Anolis sagrei: one gene and its partner. The protein of the gene in region 2 purifies or fractionates together with the protein of the main gene of each other region. This does not show direct contact. Links are inferred from orthologs where the notes say so. Each region holds a gene or a part of one and is shown on either strand. Other genes may lie near its edges.

Region 1 (8,230 bases), on a different chromosome or scaffold from region 2:
TCCGTCTGTACAGTACTGCCAAATTCAGTTACAGACATTTGGGGTTTGCTTTAATACAAATATGAACCCTTAGATATGGGTGTACTCAGAAGGAAGGGCATACTCAGAGGGAAGTGATATGGGTCTACTCAGAGGGAAGAGCACAACATTCAAGGGATCTGGGGACCCTTCCATACAGCCCCATATCCCAGAATATCAAGGTAGGAAATCCCACATTATCTGAGAGTGGATTCAGATAACCCAGTTCAAAGCAGATATTGTGGGATTTTCTGCTTTGATATTCTGGGCTATAGGGCTGTGTGGAAGGGCCTTGAGTTCCAAGTCTTGAGAGACTCAAAACCTCCCAAAATGCGACACGAAGTCTCTGATGGAGAGAGGCAATAGCCTCAGTACACAACACTGGTTCAGGTTGCCTCAACCCCTATGGAGTCTACGTGCAGAGCAACACCACCAGCCTCCTCCTTGATTTGTTTAACAGCCACAGAACAAATCAATTCTCATCTCACACCCTCACTGCTGTAGAATAGAAGAGAACCAAATCCGGTTTCTTCCAGTTTGCCGTGTTCTCACTGAAAAAGGCAAGAAGGAAATCTCTCCTTGGTCACCTTCACCAGGGGCTTTCCGAAAGTGACAACAGAGGAAGCAAAGGGGGAATATCTGCAGTTGCACATCAAATCCACACTGTTAAATTAATGCAGCCTGACCCCACTTTAACTGCCATAGCTCAATGTTGTGGAATTCTGGGGTAAGTAGTTTTGTGAGGCATCAGCATTCTTTGGAGAGAAGGCTAAAGACTAAAAATGACAACAGCTGTGATACCACAGAACTTAGCTATAACAGTTAAAGCTGTGTTGGGCTGCATTAATTTGACAGTGTCCATGCCAGCAAAATATCTTTACTCTATCACCTTTCACATTTCCTTCTCCTCTGCTTGTGTCTAATTCAAGCAGTTTGATGCCATTTTCCCTACCATATCTCCATCCTACAGAATCATGTGGTTTCATGAGATATTTAGGGCCCTTCCGCACAACCCTATATTGGGATATCAAGGCAGAAAATCCCATAATATCAGCTTTGAACTGGGTTATCGGAGTTCACACTCAGAAAATGTGGGATTTTCCGCCTTGAGCTGGGTTATCTGACTCAGATAACCCAGCTCAAAGCAGATATTGTGGGATTTTCTGCCTTGATATTCTGGGATACAGGGCTGTATGGAAGGGTCCTGAGTCCACACTCAGATAATGTGGGGTTTTCTGCCTTGATATTCTGGGATATAGGGCTGTGTGGAAGGACCCTACATCTCCTATGCTTTCACAGCACTGAGCCATGGCAGTTAATAGTGGGGCCAAACTGCATTCAGTCTACAGTGTAGACTTCCCTGCCCAAAAACTCAAAGGCTAATTTGAGGGACAGAAGTGGAGAAGCTCAGCAATCTACAGGATTCCACAAGAGAGAGCCATGACAGTTAAAGGAGAGTCAAGTTTCATTCAATCTCAACAGTGTAAATGCATCCTTGGACTTCCTGACTGAAGAGCTCAGGGCTTTTCCACACAGTCCCATATCCCAGAATACCGAGGCAGAAAATCCCACAATATCTGCGTTGCACTGGGTTATCCAAGTCCACACTGCCATACATTCCAGTTCAAAGCAGATAATGTGGGATTTTATTCAGTGGTGTGCAAGGGGCCGCAGAGTTGAATTCAAAGGTATTGTCAAAAGCTTTCATGGCCAGAATCACTGGGTTGTTGTAGGTTTTTTGGGGCTGTCTGGCCATGTTCTAGAAGCATTCTCTCCTGACGTTTGGCCAGCATCTGTGGCAAGCATCCTCACAACCTCTAAGAATGCTTGCCACAGATGCAGGCGAAATGTCAGGAGAATGCTTCTAGAATATGGCCAGACAGTCCAAAAAACCTACAACATCCCAGTGAATTCAAAGGCTTCAATATCCTATAACTACTTCATCACACTAGAGAACAAATCCACTTTAAATCTGGTTTCTGCCTCCTGCAGAATTCTGGGGTTTGTAGTTTAGTGAGCCTGTTAAAGGCTCCTCTCTAAACTACAAATCGCAGAAATCTGTAGGAGGCAGCAACAGGATTTAAAGTGGATTCATTCTCTTGTGTTATGAGGTTATAAGATTCCATATAAGATTCCTTCTCGGGCTCCTCTCTCATAAATGCACTTTTATTTTCCTATCTCACCCAGGGTTTAAACCTTTTAACATTTTATCTCATGCATCTGGCCCGCCCTTTGTGTTTGATTTTAATATGCCATTTTATACTGTTTATTTTGTTATTTTATATATTTTGTTATGATGTATTTCCCTGCTATTTTGTGTCTAACTATGTTGTATTATTTTGGGCTTGGCCTCATGTTAGCCGCCCCGAGTCCCGTTTGGGGAGATGGTGGCAGGTTATAAATAAAGATTATTATTATTATTATTATTATTATTATTATTTTGAGCCCTGGTGGCACAGTGGGTTAAACCCCTGTGCCAGCAGGACTGAAGACCGACAGGTCGCAGGTTCGAATCCGGGGAGAGGCGGATGAGCTCCCTCTATCAGCTCCAGCTCCTCATGTGGGAACATGAGAGAAGCCTCCCACAAGGATGATAAAAAACATCAAATCATCCGGGCATCCCCTGGGCAATGTCCTTGCAGACGGCCAATTCTCTCATACCAGAAGCAACTTGCAGTTTCTCAAGTTGCTCCTGGCACGAATAAAAAATTATTATTATTATTATTATTATTATTATTATTATTATATTAAAAGGGGTTCATGGCAGGTAAAGCGGTGTTAAGCTGTATCCATAAACTACAGATGCACTGTTAGACTTCCCTGTCCAAGAGCTGAAAGGCTCATTCAAAAGATGGCATTGGAGAACCTCAGTAACCTAGAGGGTTCCATGAGAGGGAGGTTAAAGCGGGATCGAACCGCTCTAGCGGGCATCCCTTGCAGATAAACCCTACTGACCCTTGAGCCTCCCCGACGGCTTTGGAAAGCTCCCGCTGCCCCTTCACCAACCCTTCCAAAGCCAGGCTTTGCGAGTCACCTTGGGAGCCACAAAACCACAAAAGCCCAAGTTCACCAAATGCTTCCTCTTCACCCTTGAGCTTCAAGAGGTGCTCAATGGGCAGGCAAGGCAAAGAGAGCGGGGGGGGGGGGGCTTCTTCGGAGGCCCTTTGAAAGGCACGCGGCTTGACTCCTCTTTTGTGCAGCCAAGCCTTTCCTCCCTTTCCTTTTCCTCCTCCTCTTTCCTTCCTCTATTTTCTCTCCAAAAGGCCCCTTCTTACCTCTCTCGGGGAAAGGGCTTCTCTCTAAGGAAGAAACGGGGGAAACAGGCGAAGGAGCGACGCTTCCAGCAGCAGACAATGAAGAAGTGAAGGGCAGCAACATTGACACACGCACTCACGCACGGAGCCACTTATCAACCTCCTCCTCCTCCAGGACGTACCATTCTGTCCAACTTCGGGGGGAGGACAAAAGAATATAAACTTGGGTCTCTTTCGCTTTGGGGACACCTTTTCCTTCCTGTACGGAATGAGGAACAACTGCTGGGGGGTCTGGGTTTCAAAAGAGGGAAGGGACCCGTGTTTTAGGCTCGTCGTCTCTCTTTTTTTTTTTGGGCGCGAGAGTGGTTCGGCCCGCGCGAGGTTGAGAGGTTTTTTGAGGCGGAGAGGAAAGAGCGGCGGGAGGGGAGATGTCCGTCTCGGGTGGCCGCGCCGTAGCTGGGCTTTGAAGGCCTGAATCCAGCCAAGGAAAAGAGGGAAGAAGGGCTCCATCTTGGGATTCCTATCAGGAGAAGGGCAGCCATGGCTCCCCCGAAGAAAGGCGACTTGAGCCAGGAGGAGAAAGAGCTGCTGGAAGTCATTGGGAAAGGTAAGGCGTGCGCAACGTGCCTCTGGCTGTGTCGGAGGGAGTTCAAGGGACAGCCAAGCCTTGAGGGAGCTTCACAATAAACAAGGCGGGCCTGGGAACGTCCAGAAGAAGAAACCAGGTCTTCCTTGGCGAGCCATTAAGCCATAGGCTCTCTCTTTTGCGCCCAGGAAGAAAAACAGGCAGTCGCTGTTCCTGCAGGAAAAGGAGACCCAGTGATTCTCAAACTCTGACCCTCTAGCTATGTGGAACTTCGACTCCCAGGAGCCTCAGCTGTCATGGCCAATGGCAAAGGATTCTGGGAGTTGAAGTCTTGTATTGTCGAAGGCTTTCATGGCTGGAATCACTCAGTTCTTGTGGGTTTTTTCGGGCTATATGGCCATGTTCTAGAGGCATTTCTCCTGACGTTTCGCCTGCATCTATGGCAAGCATCCTCAGAGGTGAGGTCACCTCTGAGGATGCTTGCCATAGATGCAGACCTTACCTCTGAGGATGCTTGCCACAGATACAGGTGAAACGTCAGGAGAAATGCCTCTAGAGAACATGGCCATATAGCCCGAAAAAACCCACAAGAACTGAGTTGAAGTCTTGTTTTGGACTTCACCAGAGATTGAGAAACACTAGCTCAGTGGTAACAACAACAACAACAATAATAACAACAATAACAACAATAACGACAATAATAATAATGTAAAGACTCTTGCACAAGCCAGCCAAGGTGGTCCCAGTGGTGATCAACACATTGGGTGTAGTGCCTAAAGACCTTGGCCTGCACTTAAACACAATCAGCACTGACAAGATTACTATCTGCCAGCTGCAGAAGGCCATCTTAATGGGATCAGCACTCATTATTTGCCGATACATCACACAGCCCTAGACACTTGGGAAGTGTCCAACATGTGGGTTGTTGTAGGTTTTTTCAGACTATATGGCCATGTTCTAGAGGCATTCTTTCCTGACGTTTTGCCTGCATCTATGGCAAGCATCCTCAGAGGTAGTGAGGTCTGTTGGAACTAGGAAAAGGGGTTTATATATCTGTGGAATGACCAGGGTGGGAAAAAGGACTCTTGTCTGCTGGAGCTAGGTGTGAATGTTTCAACTGACCACCTTGATTAGCATTTAATGGCCTGGCTGTTGTTTGGTGTGGCTTGTTAGTGCCTGGAGCAATCTTTTGTTGAGAGGTGATTAGATGTCCCAGATTGTTTCCCTTCTGTTGTTTTGCTGTTTTAATTTTAGAGTTTTTTTAATACTGGTAGCCAGATTTTGTTCATTTTCATGGTTTCCTCCTTTCTTTTGAAATTGTCCACGTGCTTGTGGGTTTCAATGGCTTCTCTGTGTAGTCTGACATGGTGGTTGTTGGAGTGGTCCAGCATTTCTGTGTTCTCAAATAATATTCTGTGTCCAGGTTGGTTCATCAGGTGCTCTACTATGGCTGACTTCTCTGGTTGAAGTAGTCTGCAGTGCCTTTCATGTTCCTTGATTCGTGTTTGGGCGCTGCATTTGGTGGTCCCTATGTAGACTTGTCCACAGACCTCACTATCTCTGAGGATTCTTGCCATAGATGCAGGGGAAATGTCAGGAGAGAATGCCTCTAGAACATGGCCATATAGCCCAAAAAACCTACAACAACCCAGTGATTCCAGCCATGAAAGCCTTCGACAATATGTTGTCCAACATAGACCCAATACAACAGCCAGCAGAGTGATCTTGTCTGCTGTGGACTCATCTTGTTGTGTTTCAAATAATAATAATAATAATAATAATAATAATAATAATAATAATCACATTCATGTTAAAAAACAAAGTATGGATTGTTGATGTTGCAATGCCAGGTGACAGCAGGATTGAAGAGAAACAACTGGAAAAGCTGACATGATATGAGGATTTAAAAATCAAACTGCAAAGACTCTGGCATAAGCCAATCAAGGTGGTCCCAGTGGTGATCGGCTCACTGGGTGCAGTGCCTAAAGACCTTGGTCTGCACTTAAACACAATCACACTGACAAAATTACCATCTGCCAGCTGCAGAAGGCCACCTTGCTGGGATCTGCATGCATTATTCGTTGATACATCACACAGTCCTAGACACTTAGGAAGTGTCAACAGCCAGCAGAGTGTCTGCTGTGGACTCATCTTGTTGTGTTTCAAATAATAATAATAATAATAATAATAATAATAATAATAACTTTATTTTATGCCCCACTCCCATCTCCCCAAAGGGACTCAAGGCAGCTTATATGGGGCCAAGCCCAATCAACAAGATCCTGGCAGCAAGACTTTTACAACGTTTTAAGCCCTCTCTGCCCAAGAGTGCTGGGACCTCATCAAGCTGCACATCCTAGGATCCCATAGCATGGAGCCATGGCTGGATCCCTTAGCCAGGATCCAATAGCATTGAGTCATCCATGCAGAACCAGCCTTAAGAGTACTTCTACACCAGTTGTTCTCAATCTGCGAGGCCCCAGGTGTTTTGGTCTACAACTCCCAGAAATCCCAGCCAGTTTACCAGCTATTAGGATTTCTTGGAGTTGAAGGCCAAAACACAGATTGAGAACCACTGATCTACACTGTAGAATTGGTGCAGTTTGACACTGCTCGGCTCAATGCAAAGAAATGGCTCACTTCAAAGGAATCCTGTGTATTATCATTTTACAATGTCTTGAGCTTTCTCTGTTCAAGAGTGCTGGTCCTTTACCAAACTACAACTCTCAGGATTCCATAGCACTGAGCCATGGCAAGTGAAGTGATGTTGAGCCGCATTTGTTTTACAGCAGGCATCTTGAAACTCCAGCCATCCTACAATTTGGATTTCCATCTTCCAGAAGCCCAGTTAACTTGTTCAATGGTCATGAATTCTGAGAGTTGAAGTCCCAAACAGCTGGATGGCTGGAGTTTGAGGATAGCTGTTTGATAGTGCCTTGCCAAGCCTCTTTTTGTGGCCTTTGATCCCTCCAAGCATCTTTCTGTTTTCCAGCCAATGAAAGTGAGTTGTGCCAAATAGCAATTCACCTTTTAAATCAATAGCAATGCTTCCCTGTACTATTCCACACCATAAATACTTACTCTTGTGTCTGTATCTCTTTTTCTGTCTTCGGCAGCAATTTATGCAGCCCCTGGATTGGCTGCAACTGTCTAACCCAATCCCTGGGCAGTTTTTCATTCCTCTTTTAGGGAAAGGTTCAGTGCAAGTCACACAAGTTGAGCTGGATTGCCAATGTGAAAACCCAATGTTTTGTTTACTGTCATATTGCACAGGCCTTGTCAGTAGCAGAACCTAAACAGCGTTCCTCCTTTGCAACCTTGTTGCGGTTCACGGTTTTATCTTTTTAAAAGCATATTGGAAACAAAGAGGCATTGCAGTCTCGTTTTGAATTCAGAATTTGCCTTCCTTTATGAATAGACTGGTGGTGACAAAGTTTCACCATTCTAGGCAGATTACTACACAGAGATCGGGAATAAAGAAAGCAACAAAATCGTAGCATAAATCACTACACGCACGTGTGTGTGAAATTGCATATGTTGTATATATATTGTAAAATCCATTATGTGCATAATGCAGCTTGTTGATATCATGAGAGCTGTTATGTGATAATCTGCTCTATTGCATGCTCAAAACAGAATCCACAAACTTTTAAGGCGTTTCTACTTTATTTGTCATTTTTAAAAAATCAGTACATATTTTTTTCATGTGCTATCAACTGATTTGGTATCAATTTTGCATGTGCTACTAATGTAGCCAATTTCTTAGGCAAAAGGTAGTCTATAAAATAAATAAAATGAATTCATTTTTCTGCTGCAGAAGATAGTAGTGGTCTTTTAAGAGATCAGCCACATACTCAGCTTAATTGGCACAGTAAGTCAAAACTTTATTCTAATTAGGAAACGGCTATTACATCAATATTTTTACAAGCAACACATTTAGGCATTGCTTGTAAGCGTATGGACAAAGCCAAGAAACTAATAATTTTAATCAATACATATTAGTTACAATCACCCAGTAAAAAGCACAGTTCTCCTGGAGTTACCACTCTATAAGTGTTCAAATACAGTTCATGTGAGTGTGTCTACATTCTTTAATATGTATACAAGGAAACTACAATCTGGTTCACTTTTCACAAGATTTCTCGTTTGTATTTAGATCATGTTAACACAGAACCATTACATATCTTAAACAGAGTCTAGCTTCATCCAGTTGTTCATCCCTAGTTGGTGTCTCCACACCAGCTCTGTTTAACAAGTAATAAGTCTGGTAGCAAAAATAATGCAGGCTAATTACTTCCATATTACTTCCATGCATTGAGGAGGAATATTAACCAGCAAAAATGTCTTTTAAACTTACTATGAGTCAGAAATC
Region 2 (7,513 bases):
GCGAGAGTCCAAAAGTGGCAGGCTAAAACCCAGAGCCTCAATCAGTGGCTGATCCTGGATGAGAAACTCCTTCCTTGGGACACAGAAGAGTGGGTGGCCTGGAAGGCACTGAACAGGCTGCACTTTGGTGGCACAAGATGCAGCGCCAATCTTAAGAAATGAGGCTACAAAGTGGAATCCATGACATGCATATGTGGAGCAAAGCAAACCACAGACCACTTACTACAATGCAGTCTGAGCTCCACCACAAGCATAGTGGAGGACCTTCTTACAGCAACAACAGAGGAACTCCAAGTTGCCAGTTTCTGGTCAAAGGACATTTAGTATAATGCCAAGTTTTACCTTTGTGGTTTTTTTATACATTATAACTGTATTCTCAATTCGTTTCTGATGCAATAAATAAATTATTTCCAGGAAAGTACATCTACACTGTGTATAGTGTACTTTCTACACTGGATGATGAGTGCAGTTTGATCCCATGGCTCAATGCTAGGGAAGCATGGGAGTTGTAGTTTTACAAGGTCTTTCACCCTCCCAAAGAGTGCTGGTATATACCCCAACTACTATTCTCATGATTCCATCACCCTGAGCCATGGCAATCAAAGTGGTGCCAAACTGAATTAATTCTACAGTACAGGTGCCCTACTGTCCTGCAAACCGGTATGTACAGTGTTGCTCCTATCTTCTTTTAAGTTGCTTCTCGCCAGCACAGCTGTCCTCTTAAGAAAGGGCGTCTGTGAATTGTTTCAGGCTGAGATCACTTGCAGGGCTCAACAAGCACTTTCTGCTTTTCTTCGCTTGCAAGTGTTAAGGCACACTTTACCTCGCTACAGTGTACATCCAGTCCATAAATGGCACTCTCTCAGTTCTGGCACCCATCAATCAATAATGCTCCATTTGAGTTGTTAGAATGAATGGAAGGCAGCTCTGATAAGAACGTTCTGTCACTTTTAGTAGTTTGATGTATCAGAAATCTTCCATTTTTGTCTTTTACTTGAATAGAGGAAAACTCCCTATTACTTTTACTTTCCCATGATTCCATTGCACTGAGCTATGGCACTTAAAGTTGGATCAAACTGCATTAATTCTATCGACAGCAGTGTTTCTCAACCTTCCTAATACCTCCAACCACAAAATTATTTTTGTTGCTACTACATAATTGTAATTTTGCTACTGTTATGAATCGTAATATAAATATCTGATATACAGGATGTATTTTCATTCACTGGACCAAATCTAGCACACATAGCCAATACACTCAAATTTGAATGCTGGTGAGGTTTTTTTTGGGGGGGGGGGGGTTTGGCGGGGGGGGGGGAAGGGGATTGATTTTGGGTTGTTGTAGGTTTTTTCGGGCTATATGGCCATGGCCTAGAGGCATTCTCTCCTGACATTTCGCCTGCATCTATGGCAAGCATCCTCAGAAGTAGTGAGGTCTGTTGGAACTAGGAACCATGAAAATGAACACAATCTGGCTACCAGTATTAAAAAACTCTAAAATTACAACAGCACAACAACAGAGAGGAAACAAACAAGGACATCTAATCACCTCTCAACAAAAGTTTGCTCTAGGCACTGCCAGGCAATCAAATGCTAATCAAGGTGATCAGTTTAAACATTCACACCTGGCTCTAGCAGACAAGAGTCCTTTGTCTCACCCTGGTCATTCCACAGATATATAAACCCTTTTTTCCCTCCTTTCTGTTGAAATTGTCCACATGCTTGTGTATTTCAATGGCTTCTCCGTGTAGTCTGACATGGTGGTTGTGAGAGTGGTCCAGCATTTCTTTTGTCATTTTGATTTTGTCATTTGGGAGTTGTAGTTGATGGGATTTATAGTTCACCTACAATCAAAGAGCATTCTGAACTCTCCCAATGATGGAATTGAACCAAACTTGGCACACACGACCAATAGAAAATACTGGATGGGTTGGTGGGCAGTGACCCTGAGTTTTGGAGTTGTAGTTCACCTACATTCAGAGCACTAAGGACTCAAACAATGAAGGATCTAGACTCAACTTGGTGCAGATACTTAATAAAAAATGTGAAAAATGGTGGGGTTTGGGGAAAATAGACCTTGACATTTGGGAGTTGTAGTTGCTGGGATTTATAGTTCACCTACAATCAAAGAGCATTCTGAACTCCACCATGGATGGAATTGAACCAAACTCAGCACACAGAATTCCCATGACAAACAGAAAATACTGGAAGGGTTTGGTGGGCATTGACCTTGAGTTTTGGAGTTGTAGTTCACTTACATGCAGAGAGCACTGAGGACTCAAACAATAATGGATCTGAACCAAACTTGACACAAATACTCAATATGCCCAAATGTGAACATTGGTGGAGTTTGGGGAAGATAGACATTTGGCAGATGTAGTTGCTGGGATTTATAGTTCACCTACAATCAAAGAGCATTCTGAACCCTACCAATGATAGAATTGGGCCAAACTTCCCACACAAAGCCCCCATGACCAACAGAAAGTTTTTTGATGGTCTTTTGTGACCCCTCTGACACCCCCTCGTGACCCCCAGGTGGAGAAACGCTAATCTACAGACTTTGGACCTAGGGCAGGCTATTAGGAATTGTGGGAGTTGGAGTCCAAAACACTTGGAAGGCCAAAGTTTGCCCATGCCTGGTCTAGATGCACTGCTAAATTCATAAAATCATAGAATCAAAGAATTGGAACAGACCTCATGGGCCATCCAGTCCAACCCCCTGCCAACAAGCAGGAATATTGCATTCAAAGCACCCCTGACAGATGGCCATCCAGCCTCTGTTTAAAAGCTTCCAAAGAAGGAGCCTCCACCACACTCCGGGGCAGAGAGTTCCACTGGTGAACGGCTCTCACAGTCAGGAAGTTCTTCCTCATGTCCAGATGGAATCTCCTCTCTTGTAGTTTGAAGCCATTGTTCCACGTCCTAGTCTCCAAGGAGGCAGAAAACAAGCTTGCTCCCTCCTCCCTGTGGCTTCCTCTCACATATTTATACATGGCTATCATGTCTCCTCTCATCCTTCTCTTCTTCAGGCTAAACATGCCCAGCTCCTTAAGCCGCTCCTCATAGGGCTTGTTCTCCAGACCCTTGATCATTTTAGTCGCCCTCCTCTGGACACATTCCAGCTTGTCAATATCTCTCTTGAATTGAGGTGCCCAGAATTGGACACAGTATTCCAGGTGTGTGAAATGCAAGTGAAACTTTAATTTCACAAAACTTTTAGTACTTTCCCCACTCAAAACAAACCCTATTTAAGTAGAGAAGGAATAAGAAGGAATCCATACTCACTTTTCTCCAGTCTTGCTTTAAACACCGAGAGAACACACTCCAACTAGTCGCCAAGCAAAGCCACGCCCACCGCCCTGCACAAGGCCCCGCCCCTTTTCAAGAACACATGCGCGCGGTTTCGAAGCATGCCGGGAGTTGTAGTCTTCCAAAACAGGACGCACGTCGTTTGACGCACAGCATGGCGGGGAGGGTCATTGCGTGAAGGTCGCGAAGCATGCCGGGAGGCGCAAGGCCGTAAGGGAGTAACGGCTTCTCGGCGTGGTTTAGTGTCGTGGTTGCCGCCTCCCTCCCGCACCGTTTTTCCCCTCTTCTTCTTCAAGGAGGCTTTCGAGGCGGAGAGAGAGAGAGAGAAAGAGAGAGCCCTTCTTTGGCCGGGCTTTCCTGAGGGCCATGTCCTACTGCAGGCAAGAAGGTACCCGGGGATCTCTGGCAGGAGGGGAGGGGAGGAAGGAGGCAGAGCAGGCCTCGGGCCCCAAGCGAAGGACCCAAGGCGAAGGGCTCCTGGGAGTTGTAGCTTTACAAGGTCTTCAGCCTTCTCTGTCAAAGGAAAAGGATTCTTCGCAAATCCAGAGGTTAAAATGGGGTCAAAGTGCATTATTTCTACAGTGCAGATGCACCAAGGTGACCCAGGTCTCACCTGCACTGGACCTACAATCCAGTTTCTGAAAACAGATTATCTGATTTTAAACTAGATTACAGGAAGTCCCCAAATTACGAGCAAGATAGGTTATGTAAATTTGTTCTTATTATAATAATGTAATACAATATAGTAATAATACAGTAGAATATATAATAACATTGTAATATAATAAGGCTAAGATATTATATCTGATACTACTGATAATATATAACAATATATAATGATATACTCTATTATTATTTTATATTTTAGTTTGTAGTGTTTTTGATTGGGAGCTGATTTGAGTGTCTGCTTTGAGAGATAAAGCAAGATATAAATAAAATAAGTCAGATCATTTTTTCAGTATAGTTCCAGATAGATAGATACACACACACACCAGGTTTAGATAATATAGGGAAGGGTGAACACCCCTGTGGTGTTGTTTTGCTGTCTGTGCCGCTGTTCAAAAGATTTCATCCTGTGATAATTGGATTTTGAAAACTGCATTAATTCTACAGCAGGGGTCCTCAAACTTTTTAAACAGAGGGCCAGGTCATAGTCTCTCAAACTGTTGGAGGGCCAGATTATAATTTGAAAAAAGGATAATGAATTTCTATGCACACAGCACATATCTTATTTGTAGTGCAAAAAACACTTAAAAACAATACAATAATTAAAATGAAGAACAATTTTAACAAATATAAACTTATTAGTATTTCAATGGGAAGTGTGGGCCTGCTTTTGGCTGATGAGATAGGATTATTGTTGTTGTATGCTTTCAAGTCATTTCAGACTTTGGTTGACCCTGAGCGAGGACCGGGTAAATGACCTTGGAGGGCTGCATCCGGCCCTCGGGCCTTAGTTTGAGGACCCCTGTTCTACACTGTAGATTCGTTCTCAGTTAAGAAGGACAATAGACTAGATGTTGTGTAAAGAGTAACTCTGGTATCAAAAGGCTAGTAATCATAAGCAGTTTGTGGACCAACGACTTAGAAGTGGGAAGGCCCATCTAGTCCAATCCTCTGCTGTATAGGAACACATAGCTAAAACAGTCTTTCTAAGACAAGCATGGGCAAACTTGGGTCCTCCAGGTGTTTTGGACTTCAGCTCCCACAATTCCTAACAGCTGGTAGGCTATTAGGAATTATGGGAGTTGAAGTACAAAACACCTTGCTGGATGAAGTTTGCCCATGCCTGTTCTAAGGGATAGCCATCTTGTATGAACTTCACATGTTTAAGTTAATTTTTCACAAAAGACAAAATTCAACGTGAAAGGAATAGATATAGCACTTACTTTGCATCTTTGTTGAGGTTTTATCTAGGTTTTTTCCTTGTTCTTGCTTGGGAGAGAACCCTGTGAGGTCAACCAGGTGAGATTCAAGGTCATTCATTGGGAGTCATGTGGCTGAACCTCTGCCATATTGAGATATTCTTGAGAAAGGGTATGGGTTTGAAATTTTCCTCCTAACTTACTCTTCAATATTTCTGGATAGGTAGAGTATTAAAAGCTTGTTTTCTACTGCTCAGAAAACACAGAGCAATGGATTCAAATTACAGGAAAAGAGATTCTAACTAAAATTAGGAAGAACTTCCTGACAGTAAGACGGATTTGCCAGTGAAATACGCTTCCCTGGAGCATGGCTGAGGCTCCTCCTTTGTAGGTTTTTAAACAAGCTGAATGACCACCTATTGGAAGTACTTTGATTATGCATTGCTGCATGGCAGAAAGGGATTGGGCTAAATGACTCTTGGGTCTTTTTCAACTTTGATTCTAAAAGGTTGCATTCCCAAGAAACATGGAAGCCTATCTACATCTTTTCTTTCCAAGGGCAGGAGACACGCTACAGTGCATATTACAGTCTTCTGTTTGAAAGGTACTTTGGAGGTGGTAGGGCTCAAAATGTATACCATATATACTTGAGTATAAGCCGACCCAAATATAAGCTGAGACACCTAATTTTACCACAAAAAAACTTGGAAAACGTATTGACTCGAGTCTAAGCCAAGGGTGAGAAATGCAGCAGCTACTGGTAAATTTCAAAATAAAAATAGATACCAATGTCCTCAATTACATTAATTGAGGCATTACTAGGTTAAATGTTTTTGAATATTTACATAAAACTGTTATTTAAGATAAGACTGCCCAACCCTGATTAAATCATTATTCTAACCTTCAATGTAAATGTGCTTACATATTCTTCCAATAGTAATAGAGTAAAATAATAAATGTAATAAAAATAATAATAGAGTAAAATAATGTAAATGTAATAATAATAAAAATAGAGTAAAATAATAAATGTAATAAAAATAATAATTACAGAGTAAAATGATAAATAACTTTGACTCAAATATAGGCTGAGGAAGGCTTTTTCATCCTAAAAAAAGAGCTGAAAACTCAGCATATACTTGAGTATATACAGTATATCAAGGTTGCTTAGGCTACACTAACATCACCTTGGAACATGTGTGGCAACGAGCAACTCTATGGCAGCATTCAGCTCCCAAGGCTGTTCCTGTCAGTCTGAACCTATGGTATATTTCTGTATGGAAAGCAGACACTGACATAAGGGAAATCTTTTGGCCTAGTTGCTGATAAGGCAGGTCAGGAAGCTTTGAGATAGCTTTTTGGATTGCTAAAATTGGATCTGTGAGGCAGCTTCACTTTCCCAATCCTTGTTCCCATGGAAGGGATAGTTTGACATTTTTTGTACCATAAGTTATTCTGTAGGTGAAAACAAGTGGAAATCAAAACATAGGATATATTTGATACCTTTAAATCAAGCATCACTCTTGATCATTTTATTCTGAGGACTAATGATGGCTTAACATTGGGATTTTGCATATTTTATTTCCCCATTATGTTTATGAAGTTGATTAAACAGAAGGCCGTTTCACTACCTGGCAGCATTATCTAACACATTCTTGCTCCTTGACATAGATTTATTGCTGAGTGAGTAGTAGGCCTTGTATGTATTTTATGTTCTCATTTTTATGATCGTATTTAGTTCTTGGTGTTGATTTTAGAAGTTGTTCTTTTCCTCATTCTTAGTGTGAAGGCTCATTGAGTTTTCTCTTTACATTTCTTTCAATTTTCCCTTTCCTTGCACATAGAACGGAGTGAATGATGACACTGACTAGCAACTGCTGTCAAGTTGTGTAAGGATCACATGGTAACATCCAACAGAAGCATAAATTACAGCGTTTGATTTAATAGGGTACAGTTGAGGACATAGTCTAATGAAAAGCTAAATGAACACAAAGTAATTGCTGTAGGATAATAATAAAATCATAGGCATTTAGTAAAGCAGTTTAAATAAAAGTAATACGTGGATTTAAGGCTAAATAAAAGTTGTTTATTTACTTTTAAAGATATTATTATATTTATTGATTGCCTAGAGATACGCTTTGGCAAGCGGTATACAAAAAGTTGTGGCTTTGATTTTTACCTGGCAATTTTGGTACCTTGAAAAGTAAGAAATCAGCTTGTGTCATATATTTCATGGATTATAACAGGGGTGAGAGTCATGCCGACTTCCCGATGCTGGACTAAAACTCCAGCATTCCTCACAATTGACTGTGCTGGCTAAGGCTGCTGGGACTTACAGTTCA

Evidence for each region. Proteins that work in one complex are often made in the same cells at the same time.
Region 1: the proteins of TMEM43 (region 2) and BZW2 purify together in Homo sapiens (affinity purification with mass spectrometry; 3 studies listed by BioGRID and IntAct, counting the BioPlex papers as one, with this or other methods). This does not show direct contact. The link is inferred for Anolis sagrei from reciprocal best matches to the Homo sapiens genes TMEM43 and BZW2.

What each region holds. Positions count from the first base shown.
Region 1 is NC_090026.1:96,118,717-96,126,946, forward strand, and holds the start of BZW2 (eIF5-mimic protein 1), read right to left. Parts: upstream 3,480-8,230; 5' UTR 3,294-3,479; intron 1-3,293. Other genes in the region: ANKMY2 (ankyrin repeat and MYND domain-containing protein 2), read left to right, coding at 3,813-3,879. UniProt on the Homo sapiens protein: Translation initiation regulator which represses non-AUG initiated translation and repeat-associated non-AUG (RAN) initiated translation by acting as a competitive inhibitor of eukaryotic translation initiation factor 5 (EIF5) function.
Region 2 is NC_090022.1:52,196,220-52,203,732, forward strand, and holds the start of TMEM43 (transmembrane protein 43), read right to left. Parts: upstream 3,352-7,513; 5' UTR 3,286-3,351; intron 1-3,285. Other genes in the region: CHCHD4 (mitochondrial intermembrane space import and assembly protein 40), read left to right, coding at 3,676-3,697. UniProt on the Homo sapiens protein: May have an important role in maintaining nuclear envelope structure by organizing protein complexes at the inner nuclear membrane. Required for retaining emerin at the inner nuclear membrane.